Struthio camelus: one gene and its partners. The protein of the gene in region 1 purifies or fractionates together with the protein of each later gene. This does not show direct contact. Links are inferred from orthologs where the notes say so. Each region holds a gene or a part of one and is shown in the gene's direction. Other genes may lie near its edges.

Region 1 (3,746 bases):
GGGGGGTCCTGGGGGGGTCACACTGGGCCAGACTGGGGGTATAGTAAGACCGAACTGGGTCAAACTGGGAGGGGGAGGGCCCTAGAGGGAGTCACACTGGGCCAGACTGGGCCCAGACTGGACGGCCACTGGGATGCCCACTTGGGGGGGGGGGTCACACTGGGCCAGACTGGAGCCACACTGAGGCCAAACTGGGCCCAGACTGGGATGGGGGGGGGACACTGGGATCAAACTGGGACCCAGCGGCCCTCAGACTGGGGGCACACTGGGGCGATACTGGCATTATACTGGGACCATACTGGGCTCACACAGAGGGCCAGGCTGGGGGGACTCCACCAGGACGATACTGGTGTCGTACTGGGGCCCACTGGGACCAGCCTGGGCTCACGCTGAAGCCACACTGGGCTGATACGGAGGCCATACTGGGGCATACTGGGAACACACTGTGGCCAAACTGGGACAATACTGGGACCGTGCTGGGGGCCATGCTGGGACGATACCGGTGTCATACTGGGGCCTACTGGGACTATGCTGGGCTCGCAGACCACACTGGGACGATACTGGTGTCATACTGGGGCCCACTGGGACCATCCTGGAGCTCACAGTGAGGCCAGAGTGGGGGGCCAAACTGGGCTGACACTGATGTCATACTGGGGCCAAACTGGGACCATCCTGGAGCTCACAGTGAGGCCAGAGTGGGGGGCCAAACTGGGCTGACGCTGGTGTCATACTGGGGCCCACTGGGACCATCCTGGAGCTCACAGTGAGGCCAGAGTGGGGGGCCAAACTGGGCTGATGCTGGTGTCATACTGGGGCCCACTGGGACCATCCTGGAGCTCACAGTGAAGCCAGCCTGGGGCCAAACTGGGACGATACCAGTGTCATACTGGGGCCTACTGGGACTTTGCTGGGCTCGCAGAAGCCACACTGGGGCCAAACTGGCGTCATACTGGGGCAGGGGGCGGGCCGAGCCCGGACGCCTGGGTCCCTTCCCCACCCTGGCGAGGCCTCGTGGTTAAAGCAGGCTTGAGGGAGGTTGAGGAGGGTTGACGTGAACCCGGACGCCTGGGCCCTTCCTCCCCCAAGAAGAGAGAGGTGGGGCCAGGCGAGGCTCCCCGGACGCCCGGGTCCCCGATGGGCCGTGCCTCAGTTTCCCCTTCCGCCGCGGTGCCTTGTGGGGCGGCGACGGCGGCGGTGGCCGTGGTGGCGGTGGCCGTGGTGGTGGTGGTGGTGGTGGAGGGCCACCACCTCCCGCGCCGTCCCGCGCCGCGTCCCCCCCACCCCGGGGCAGCGGCGGTTGGGTGGTGGTTGGGTGGGGGGGGGTGGTGACAGGGGAGGACGGGGGACACCCCCCCCCCCCGCCACCGCCCCCGCCGCCATGGACCCCCGGCGCCTCCGCATCTCCGCCCGCGACCCCCAGGAGGACTTCGAGGTCCTGCAGCGCCTCGGAGGTGGCACCTACGGCGAGGTCTACAAGGTGACACGGGCGCCCCGGGGGCGGGGGGGGGGCCGGGCATGTCCCCCCCCTCCCCACCCCACCCCAAACCCACCCCCGTCCCCCCACCCACCACCCCATCCCAGGCCCACCCCCCAACCCCAAACCCACCACCCCAAACCCACGTCCCAACCCCAAACCCACGTCCCAACCCCGTCCCCCTCCCCTCCCCAAACCCACCCCCAACCCCAAACCCACCACCCCAAACCCCCCACCCCACCCCAAACCCACCACCCCAAACCCACCACCCAACCCCAAACCCACGTCCCAACCCCGTCCCCCCACCCCACCCCAACCCCGTCCCCCAACCCCGTCCCCCCACCCCCCACCCCACCCCAAACCCACCCCCCAACCCCGTCCCCCCACCCCACCCCAGACCCACCCCCCAACCCCAAACCCACCACCCCAAACCCACCGCCCAACCCCAAACCCACGTCCCAACCCCGTCCCCCTCCCCTCCCCAAACCCACCCCCAACCCCGTCCCCCCACCCACCACCCCACCCCAAACCCACCCCCCACCCCGTCCCCCCACCCCACCCCAGACCCACCCCCCAACCCCAAACCCACCACCCCAAACCCACCCCAACCCCGTCCCCCCACCCCACCCCAAACCCACCACCCCAAACCCACGTCCCAACCCCGTCCCCCCACCCCACCCCAAACCCACTCCCCAACCCCAAACCTACCACCCCAGACCCACCCCCCAACCCCAAACCCACCACCCCAAACCCACCCCAACCCCGTCCCCCCACCCCACCCCAAACCCACTCCCCAACCCCAAACCTACCACCCCAGACCCACCCCCCAACCCCAAACCCACCACCCCAAACCCACCCCAACCCCGTCCCCCCACCCCACCCCAAACCCACCACCCCAAACCCACGTCCCAACCCCGTCCCCCCTCCCCATCCCAAACCCACCCCCCACCCCGTCCCCCCACCCCACCCCAAACCCACCCCCCAACCCCCGGCCCTGAGCCCCGGCTCCCCCCCCCAGGCCCGCAGCAAAGACACCGGCGAGCTGGCCGCCATGAAGGTCGTCAAGATGGAGCCAGGTGAGGGGGGGGGCGGTACCCACCCGAGGGGCCCAGGCGTCCGGGAGCCCCCCACCCGACCCCTCTGCCCCCCCCGAGCGCCTCGATGCCCCTTGGCACCCCTCGGTACCCCCCATATCCTTTAATACCCCCCGATACTCCCTAATACCCCCCGATACTCCCTAATACCCCCTCAATACTCCCTAATACCCCCTGGTACTCCTTAATACCACCAACAAGCCTTAATACCCCCCGATACTCCTTAATACCCCCCTGGTACTCCCTAATACCCCGTGGTACTCCCTAATACCCCCTCGATACTCCCTGATACCCCCTGGTACTCCTTAATACCACCAACACTCCTTAATACCCTCCCCTGATGCTCCTTAATACTCCTTGATGCTCCTTAATACCCCGGATACTCCCTAATACTCCCCCCACACGCCTTAATACCCCCAGAGACCCTCCAAACCCCTCTGTGATGCTCCTGGACCCCTCTGATGCCTCATGAGACCCCCCCAAACCTCCTGGACCACCCTGGGGCCCCCCAATAACCCCTGAGATGCCCCAGAGACCCTCCAAACCCCTCTGTGATGCTCCAGGACCCCCCTGATGCCTCATGAGACCCCCCCCAAACCTCCTGGACCCCCCTGAGGCCCCCAATAACCCATGATGCCCCAGAGACCCTCCAACCCCTCTGTGATGCTCCAGGACCCCCCTGATGCCTCATGAGACCCCCCGCAAACCTCCTGGACTCCCCCAGGATCCCTCAATAACCCATGAGATGCCCCAGAGACCCTCCAAACCCCTCTGTGATGCTCCAGGACCCCCCTGATGCCTCGTGAGACCCCCCCCAAACCTCCTGGACCCCCCTGAGGCCCCCAATAACCCATGAGATGCCCCAGAGACCCTCCAAACCCCTCTGTGATGCTCCAGGACCCCCCTGATGCCTCATGAGACCCCCCCAAACCTCCTGGACTCCCCCAGGATCCCCCAATAACCCATGAGAGGCCCCAGAGACCCTCCAAACCCCTCTGTGATGCTCCTGGACCCCCCTGATGCCTCATGAGACCCCCCCCAAACCTCCTGGACTCCCCCAAGATCCCTCAATAACCCATGAGATGCCCCAGAGACCCTCTGGTGCCCTGCAAAACATCCCAGCAACCCCCCCCCCGAGATGCACCTAGGACCCCCTTGGGACTCCCCAATACCCTCTG
Region 2 (3,746 bases), on another chromosome or scaffold:
GGGACAGGACAGCAGGTTGGGCGGCCTTATCACGATTACCCAAACAGTTTAAACAAAGTCATTAACCCAGCCTGTACCATGGCACCAAGGCCCCGCCGTGTAATCAGGCAGCACTATACGGCAGGTGTCACTGCCAAGAAGTTCACACACACACACACACACACGGCACTCGTCTGGAGCGAGGACCCTGGTGCAAACGGCCTGCATGCTCCGGCCTTGGGAAGAGCAACCTGGAAGTCGTTTTATCAGCAGATGTTTGCCCAACCTTGTTGACAAGGGACTCATGTTGTCACAGTTAAGGACGAGAAACCCAGTGAACTAAAAAGATTATAGTATTCAATCTGAGGCAGGGCCCAAAGGATCTTGTGTCACAAAGGAAATACGAGGCAGGGCAGGGTCAGGTTCTTACATTTTTGCCTTGAATTGCCAGATGGTTTTATCACTTGATGAACAGAAGTTGGTCTAGAAAAGTCTGGCCGCACCTGGTTACTTATTTCAAGGGGTCCAGCAACAAAGTGAGGAATTTCTATAGCAGGAAGGAGCCAGTGAGTCAGAAGACCTCACCCTCCTTAGGGTTAAGGCACCTCATCCCGAAGAAAGGCTGGCTACAAGACCGGTGCTGTAAATGGAAGGGAAATCCTACGTAGGGGGGCGTGGGAAGAGTTGCAGGAAGACCTAAAAGAGCCAAGAGGCAGGCAGGGGCCGTGCACGGAAGAGAGCAGCGAACACAAGAGAAGGTGGATCCTTCGGTCCCTGCAGATAAGCAGATCCCCGAGGGCGACCGGGCCGGCTTCTTTGCAGCTCAACGGCAGCGCTCCACAAGGCTGCTTTCCGTCACCTCCCTTCACACCGGCTGAATTTTAAGCCTCCGCGCCCCGGTCAAGAAAGCGCTGGGACGTTTCCTCGCAGCCCTGGCGGAACCAGCGCCGGGACAGAGCCGAGCGGCAGCGCGGCTGCCTGCCCGCAGCAGTCACGCCAAAACCAGGCGGGTTCAGACCCAAGGCTGGAGCCCCCTCAGGGCGAGGCCGCGGGGGGGGGGGTGGATCCCAGCAGCTGGCCCCCCCCCCGGCCGTGACCTCTGCCCTTTGACCTCGGGGAGGTAGCCCCCCCTCCCGTGACGTGCCCTCTGCCCTTTGACCCCTACCCCCCCCCCGGGGACACGCGGCCTCGCCGAGCTTTCTGGAAAGGCCCAGACCGGCCGTCGCTATAGCAACCAAACCCCGCGCCCCGCCGGTCCCGCCTCCCCGCGGCACATTGGACGCCGCAAAGGCCAATCCGCGAAGAGAGCGGGGCGGCCGGGCGCTCAGGATTGGCGGGCGGCGCGGGCCCTCGCGCACCGCCTTCCGCTCGCGTCGCTTCCGCTTCCGGTCGCCGGCGTGAGGGGCTGAGGGGGCCGTTGGCGGCGGCGGGCCCTACCACCACCATCACCATGGGGCTGAGCGCGGAGGAGGCGGCGGAGCAGGAGGACCGCTTCGACGGCATGCTCCTGGCCATGGCCCAGCAGCACCAGGGCGGCGTGCGCGAGGTAGCACCGCCGGGCCTGGACCCGAGCCCGGGCCGTGGCGGGAGCTTTTACGTGTTCCCGGGGCGGGGGGCGGAGTGAGTGGGGGAGGGGCGGGCCCCGAGGCAGGGGGCGGAGGCAGCCGCGGCCCGGCCTCCCTGGGACGAGGGTCTCCGGGAGCCCCGGGCCCTCCCCGGTGGGCACGTGTGTCCCAGCGCCCCGTCGTTGGGGGTTCCTGCTCTCGGCGCCCCCGGGGGGACCTGGAGCCCAGGAGGCGCGGAGGAAGGGCTAATTAGCGCCGTGCTGATGAGGGCCTGGGGGGCCCCGGCCATGCCCCTCGGCTTCCTGCCGCCTCCCGCGGCCGTCTCGTCGCCCCTGAGCAGCTGGGGCGTTTTATGGGTGGGTCGTTCGCACTCGTTCAAGTTAACACCGTTGGCTTGCTAGAGGCGTTAGAGGCGTGTGGAAAGGCAGATCCCTCTCCGTATTGCAGCGAAACTAGACACTGCATGGGGAGGATCAAGTCGAGCTGTCACACTCTCAGCATGACCGTCTGAGAGCTGCCTTGTGAGACCTGATGTGTTGGCTGCAGTCATAAAATAGGCAGAAGTATGCCTAAGCATGAATACAGTTTCCCTTCCCTCACTGTAGCTGCATTACTGATACTCTTTGCACTCACATTTTCTGATGTGACTCTTGCTGGAGGCTGCTCAGAGGGTCTAGGTGATGACATGCAGCTAGATTACTACAGTTCTGGGGAACATCCCCCACCCACAGGTGGTCTGGGGAAATGATGTTAATAACAGCTCTTCCTACTGGACTGAAGCTTCTGATTGAAATACTGACAAAGACATTATTCCTGGAAAAGAAGAAAGAGAAACCATACTCATTGAGATTATTTCTTGCAGGTGTATTCTAGTATGTCAGTTCACAACTTCTACTTCATCAGGGACACCTGACAGGCAGTTCTGTCTTGTCGCATGTCTTGCAGGGCGCAGACCACCATCCGTTGCTTCTAGGCTGTTAGTGGGTAGCAAACGTGTTAGTCTTTTGTAAAAGTAAACAAGTCACAGAGCTGGGGAAGGTGGGTTTGCAAGCTCTGAGGGCTTAGACAACCAAAGAAGTGAATTTATAGTATACACGTGTATCTATATACATGTATGTGTATATTTAATTAAAAAAGAAGTTCCAGCGTCAGATGGGTCTAAGTAACAGCTTGGGATTTCAAAGTTGATGCATCTCCAAGGGAAGATGGCCTGAGAATGAACTGCTTCCCCTTTCTTCATGTAAAACACAAAAATGCATCTTCTGAAAATTGGGAATCCGTAAGCTGGATCTCCACAAAAGTCCTCAGTTTTTTTGCTGGGAAACGGTAATGGGTTTGACTCTAATATGATCCTAACACAGACATAGGCAGGAAGTAAAAAGAAGAACAAAGACTACTGAGGAGACAGGGGATGACTGGGAGTGATCTGGTCTCATTGCTCTTTTTTTTTTCCTCTTTACCCCAACCCCTACCCTCTGTTTCCTCAAACAGCTTGTGAACACATTCTTTAGTTTCCTGAGGCGGAAAACTGATTTCTTCACTGGTGGCGAAGATGGAGTAGCAGAAAAGGTATTTAAAAAAAAAAAAAAAAGTCATTCTAACTTACATACTCTCTGTGCCATGCTAAGACTTCCCTTCCTGAATAACTCAAAGCATTCCTCCCAATACACCTGGGAACCAGCAGTCTGTGATGTTGGTGAAATACACCTCTGAAACAAGGTAATAATAAGCTACCCCTATCTGAGGTGAGGCATGATGGCTTGTTCAAATGATACCAATGGTGCAAGTTTTTGCCACGCTCTGGCCAAAGGCCTGTTTGAAAAGCAAATCTGCCAGACGCTCTGACTTAACGGTGACAGACACTGCAGTGTTGATAACCCCAGGTTACCTTGTTTGTTCATCTCAGAAAAATTACAAAGTCCACATCCCTGCACATGCTGCTGCCCCTTTGTCTCTGTGCTGCAGTATTTGTACGGACTGAACACGCCAGAGAGCAAGCCCGAGGATCGAGGCTACCTTGTTGGCCTGAGAGAACTGAATGTCTTTGATATCCAGCAGGTATTCCTGACCCAGCACAAGAATTGTAAAACTAACTAGTTTCTTTGTAGTGAAATAAGGACCAGAGCATTGAAACATCAGTTAGCGAGACTTTCTGAAGGTTTCTTGCTTGTGCTTACCAGTATATCAACAGTTACCTTTTCT
Region 3 (3,746 bases), on another chromosome or scaffold:
TCAGCCCTGACGTGACCCCTGCAGCAGGTCCTCCCGCAAAGCCCTTCCGCTGCTGCCTGTCTCCTCCATCCTGCGTGTTCCCCCTCCGCGCTGCCCCGGTCCGCTCCTGGCTTGCACCCACAGTCTCAGAAAGGTCAGGACAGCAGAGCCACGAGTTCATCAGCCAAAGATGCGCCTGGAGCCAGCTGCTCGGCGCTTGGCTCTCGGCCTCAGGGGAGCTGTTGTCTCCCTGCACCGAGTGAAGAGCCCTGCGCATGACAGCTGCCAGCAACGTAGCATATGGATAAAAAGGTGCCTTGTAAACTACCCAAAGGGCTGACGCTTCCCTGGCTTTCCCTGCTGCTCCCCCACCCACCCCACAGCTACCGACAGGTGCTCAAGCCTGCAGCTGGTGTTTCACACATGGCCAAAGATCCTGACACACGAGGAAGTTAAAACAGGAAGCCCCCATGCTGTTCTGCTCGGCCGTAAACCCCCAGGAAGATGGCGGGGGCAGGGCACACAAGCTCTGCCCTGGGCCTCTGGCACCGTGTCTGCTGCCGCCCCAGCTCATTCCTATACAACCCCCAGCCTAGATCCCCGCTCTGCACCTTGGCACTGCCGAGGAAACACCAACGGGGGGATTAAAAAAGCTCATCTCCCTTCTAGCACTTGAGGGCATCCTGATGACTGTGACAATAACGCGCCATCAGCCGAGCTGAGGAGCTGCTCACAGCTCCAAGCACGGCCAGGGAAGGACCCAGGGCGTCCCCGCACGGGCAGGCCGCGGCCGTGCCCCCCTCGGCCCTTCTCCCCCGGCGCTGGGGCTCAGGGGGAAGCCGAGAGAGCGGCAGGCCGGGCCGGGCCGAGGTCCCCGGGTGGGCACCGACCCGACCCTGCCCAGCCGGAGCGTCCCGTGGAAGCCTCTGGAAGGAGCCGCCTCGCTGCCACCCGCCGTCAGTGCGCCTCCGCCGCCCGCGGGAAATAGTCCCTCCCGCTACCCCGCCGGGGGCGGAGGCCGCGGAGAATGGCGGCGGCGGGGCGGTGAAGGCCGCCGGTCCCTCCCCCGGGACGGCGGCAGGCAGGCAGTCGCCCCCCCGGGGGCGGAGCTGCGGCAGCGGGGCGGGGCGGAGCTGGGGGCGGCGCTCGGGCCGAAGGTGCCCGAGTCATGTCCGCCGCCGCGGTTAAAAGGGCGTTGCAGTGGGGCCCACCCAGCGGCTGGCAGTGGGGGGGAGGGGGAGCACGGGGGTGTCTGTGGTACCCACCCTGCAGGCCCCCAACGGAGGGGCACGGCGCTTCGGAGAAGCGACCTCGCTCTCCCTTCATCGCGGACGGGATGCGGCGTGAGGCAGGAGCCTCCCGGCCGCAGGGACCCGCCGCGCCTCTCCAGGCCCTTTTAAGGCGGAAGGAGCCGGCGGGCGGTGCGGCGCCGTCGCTATAAAAAGGGGTCGGAGGGGGCGGCTGCTCTTTTCTAGGTCCGTCAGCTGCCGCCGCGTGTGGAACGGCCGCCGCCCGCGGTAAGGGCGCCGGGCCCGCCCGCGCTGCCGCCCCGCCGCGGCCCGGGGCGCCCCGTGCCCCCGGTGCCAGCGGCCTGTGCTTGCCTTGCAGATGCCTGAGGAGGTGCAGCATGGGGAGGAGGAGGTGGAGACGTTCGCCTTCCAGGCGGAGATCGCCCAGCTCATGTCGCTCATCATCAACACCTTCTACTCCAACAAGGAGATCTTCCTGCGGGAGCTCATCTCCAACGCCTCCGACGTGAGCCTCGCCTCGGCCCACCCGCCCGTGGGGCCTTCCCCTGCCCTCCCTCCTCTCCTTCCCCGGGCCCTGGGGCGGGCTGGTGTCCCTCCCGGGGTGCCCGGGCCGGGGGCGGCCCGCGGGAGGTGGCCGCGAAGTCCCGAGGCCAAGGCACGCGCTCTGCTCTCCCCCTCCTAGGCGCTGGATAAGATCCGTTACGAGAGCCTGACTGATCCCTCCAAGTTGGACAGCGGCAAGGACCTCAAGATCGACATTGTGCCCAACCCGCGAGACCGCACGCTCACCCTGGTGGACACTGGTATTGGGATGACAAAAGCTGATCTCATCAACAACTTGGGCACTATCGCTAAATCTGGTACCAAGGCCTTCATGGAAGCCCTGCAGGTGGGTTGCCTTTGGCTGTGTTGGCTTCTTGCAGCCTGGGCCCTAGACTTTCACTGGGGTGTACCCCCTCCTTACAATAGAAGCATGCCCGACAGTCAGCACCCAGCCCTGCCTCTGTCTTGCTGTGGGAGCTGTTGGCTTGCCTACGTATGTTTCCCCACCTCTCCTGTAGCAGGGAGGAGCTCAGGGTAGGGCTGCCTGCCTGTGGGCACTTCCCACTTTATCTCTGCCTGCTGACCTAGTTCTCTGCTGCTGCGAATCACTTGCAGGCATGTTTTGCGTCCTTCTCTCTTTATTTGTCGTTTTCTGCTTCCGCAGGCAGGTGCAGATATCTCCATGATTGGGCAGTTTGGTGTGGGTTTCTACTCAGCCTACCTGGTGGCTGAGAAGGTTGTGGTTATTACTAAGCATAATGATGATGAGCAGTATGCTTGGGAGTCATCTGCCGGGGGTTCCTTCACTGTTCGGACTGACCATGGTATGTATTGTACAAAGGTAAGTTTATCTCTGTCATCCAGAAAGCCCCCCTTTGTGGTGTTCTCCTGGGCTGGACTTGAGTTAACAAACTCGAGTTTGTTAACGTGAAGTACCTGGTAGTGGCTGGGCCTAAGGAGCTGCCCTATGCCTCTAGCGCTAACGTTTCTCTTTCTACACTGTAGGTGAGCCTATTGGACGGGGCACTAAAGTGATCCTGTATCTGAAAGAGGACCAGACAGAGTACTTAGAGGAGCGGCGTGTCAAAGAGGTGGTGAAGAAACATTCCCAGTTCATTGGCTACCCTATTACACTCTATGTAAGTAAGGGAAGGACTTTGGGGACCAACTGGAAAGCTAGAGCAGAGACGTATGTTGGGAACAGAAAGATGGAGAAAACTAGAGTAGTGTGTCTTCCGTTCCCTTCCAGTTCCTGGCTGCTGTGTTTTGAGCGACGGTGTCCCCAGCCTTATTCGGCCGGAGGTGTTTTGAGGCTGGGGGCCTATTGCAGGTGGGGGGCATCCAGTCATGCTCCTGGCCCTTGATCTCTGTGCGTGTAGAGATCATGTAAACCAGCCTTGCAGACAGGAGAGTTTTCTGCCCCTCACTTCATCTCCTCAGACCCAGCCCTTAGTCCTGTGAGCAATGAGAGGTCTCTTGGAGCTGATTTCAGCTACGCTCAGGAGTGCGTGTGTTCCTCTTCTCTGGGGCAAAAGGACTCCTGATAGTGTTTGCTTGGGGCTAAGCTTGGGCTCATGGCCCTGACTTTCTCTTGTTCCTCTCCTGGCAGCTGGAGAAAGAGCGTGAGAAAGAGATTAGTGATGATGAAGCAGAAGAGGAGAAAAGCGAGAAGGAGGAGGAGGAGTCAGCCTCCAAGGATGAGGAGAAACCCGAGATCGAGGATGTGGGCTCTGATGAGGAGGAAGAGGGAGATAAAGGGAAGAAGAAGAAGACCAAGAAGATTAAGGAGAAATACATTGACCAGGAGGAGCTGAACAAGACCAAGCCCATCTGGACACGCAACCCTGATGACATCACCCAGGAGGAATATGGCGAGTTCTACAAAAGTCTCACCAATGACTGGGAAGACCACCTGGCTGTCAAGGTGGGTGCTGAAAAAGACGAAAGGATTCCTTTCCACTCCATGTTTAAAGC

What was found.
Region 2: the proteins of MAP4K1 (region 1) and NUDC purify together in Homo sapiens (affinity purification with mass spectrometry; 3 studies listed by BioGRID and IntAct, with this or other methods). This does not show direct contact. The link is inferred for Struthio camelus from reciprocal best matches to the Homo sapiens genes MAP4K1 and NUDC.
Region 3: the proteins of MAP4K1 (region 1) and HSP90AB1 purify together in Homo sapiens (affinity purification with mass spectrometry; 3 studies listed by BioGRID and IntAct, with this or other methods). This does not show direct contact. The link is inferred for Struthio camelus from reciprocal best matches to the Homo sapiens genes MAP4K1 and HSP90AB1.

The regions. Positions count from the first base shown.
Region 1 is NC_090957.1:1,128,837-1,132,582, reverse strand, and holds the start of MAP4K1 (mitogen-activated protein kinase kinase kinase kinase 1), read left to right. Parts: upstream 1-1,151; 5' UTR 1,152-1,378; coding exon 1,379-1,477; intron 1,478-2,492; coding exon 2,493-2,550; intron 2,551-3,746. UniProt on the Homo sapiens protein: Serine/threonine-protein kinase, which plays a role in the response to environmental stress. Appears to act upstream of the JUN N-terminal pathway.
Region 2 is NC_090964.1:6,807,312-6,811,057, reverse strand, and holds the start of NUDC (nuclear migration protein nudC), read left to right. Parts: upstream 1-1,261; 5' UTR 1,262-1,429; coding exon 1,430-1,525; intron 1,526-2,387; exon of another isoform or gene 2,388-2,518; intron 2,519-3,035; coding exon 3,036-3,113; intron 3,114-3,746. UniProt on the Homo sapiens protein: Plays a role in neurogenesis and neuronal migration. Necessary for correct formation of mitotic spindles and chromosome separation during mitosis. Necessary for cytokinesis and cell proliferation.
Region 3 is NC_090944.1:104,480,887-104,484,632, forward strand, and holds the start of HSP90AB1 (heat shock protein HSP 90-beta), read left to right. Parts: upstream 1-1,168; 5' UTR 1,169-1,496; intron 1,497-1,587; coding exon 1,588-1,734; intron 1,735-1,911; coding exon 1,912-2,118; intron 2,119-2,436; coding exon 2,437-2,596; intron 2,597-2,777; coding exon 2,778-2,911; intron 2,912-3,381; coding exon 3,382-3,696; intron 3,697-3,746. UniProt on the Homo sapiens protein: Molecular chaperone that promotes the maturation, structural maintenance and proper regulation of specific target proteins involved for instance in cell cycle control and signal transduction. Undergoes a functional cycle linked to its ATPase activity.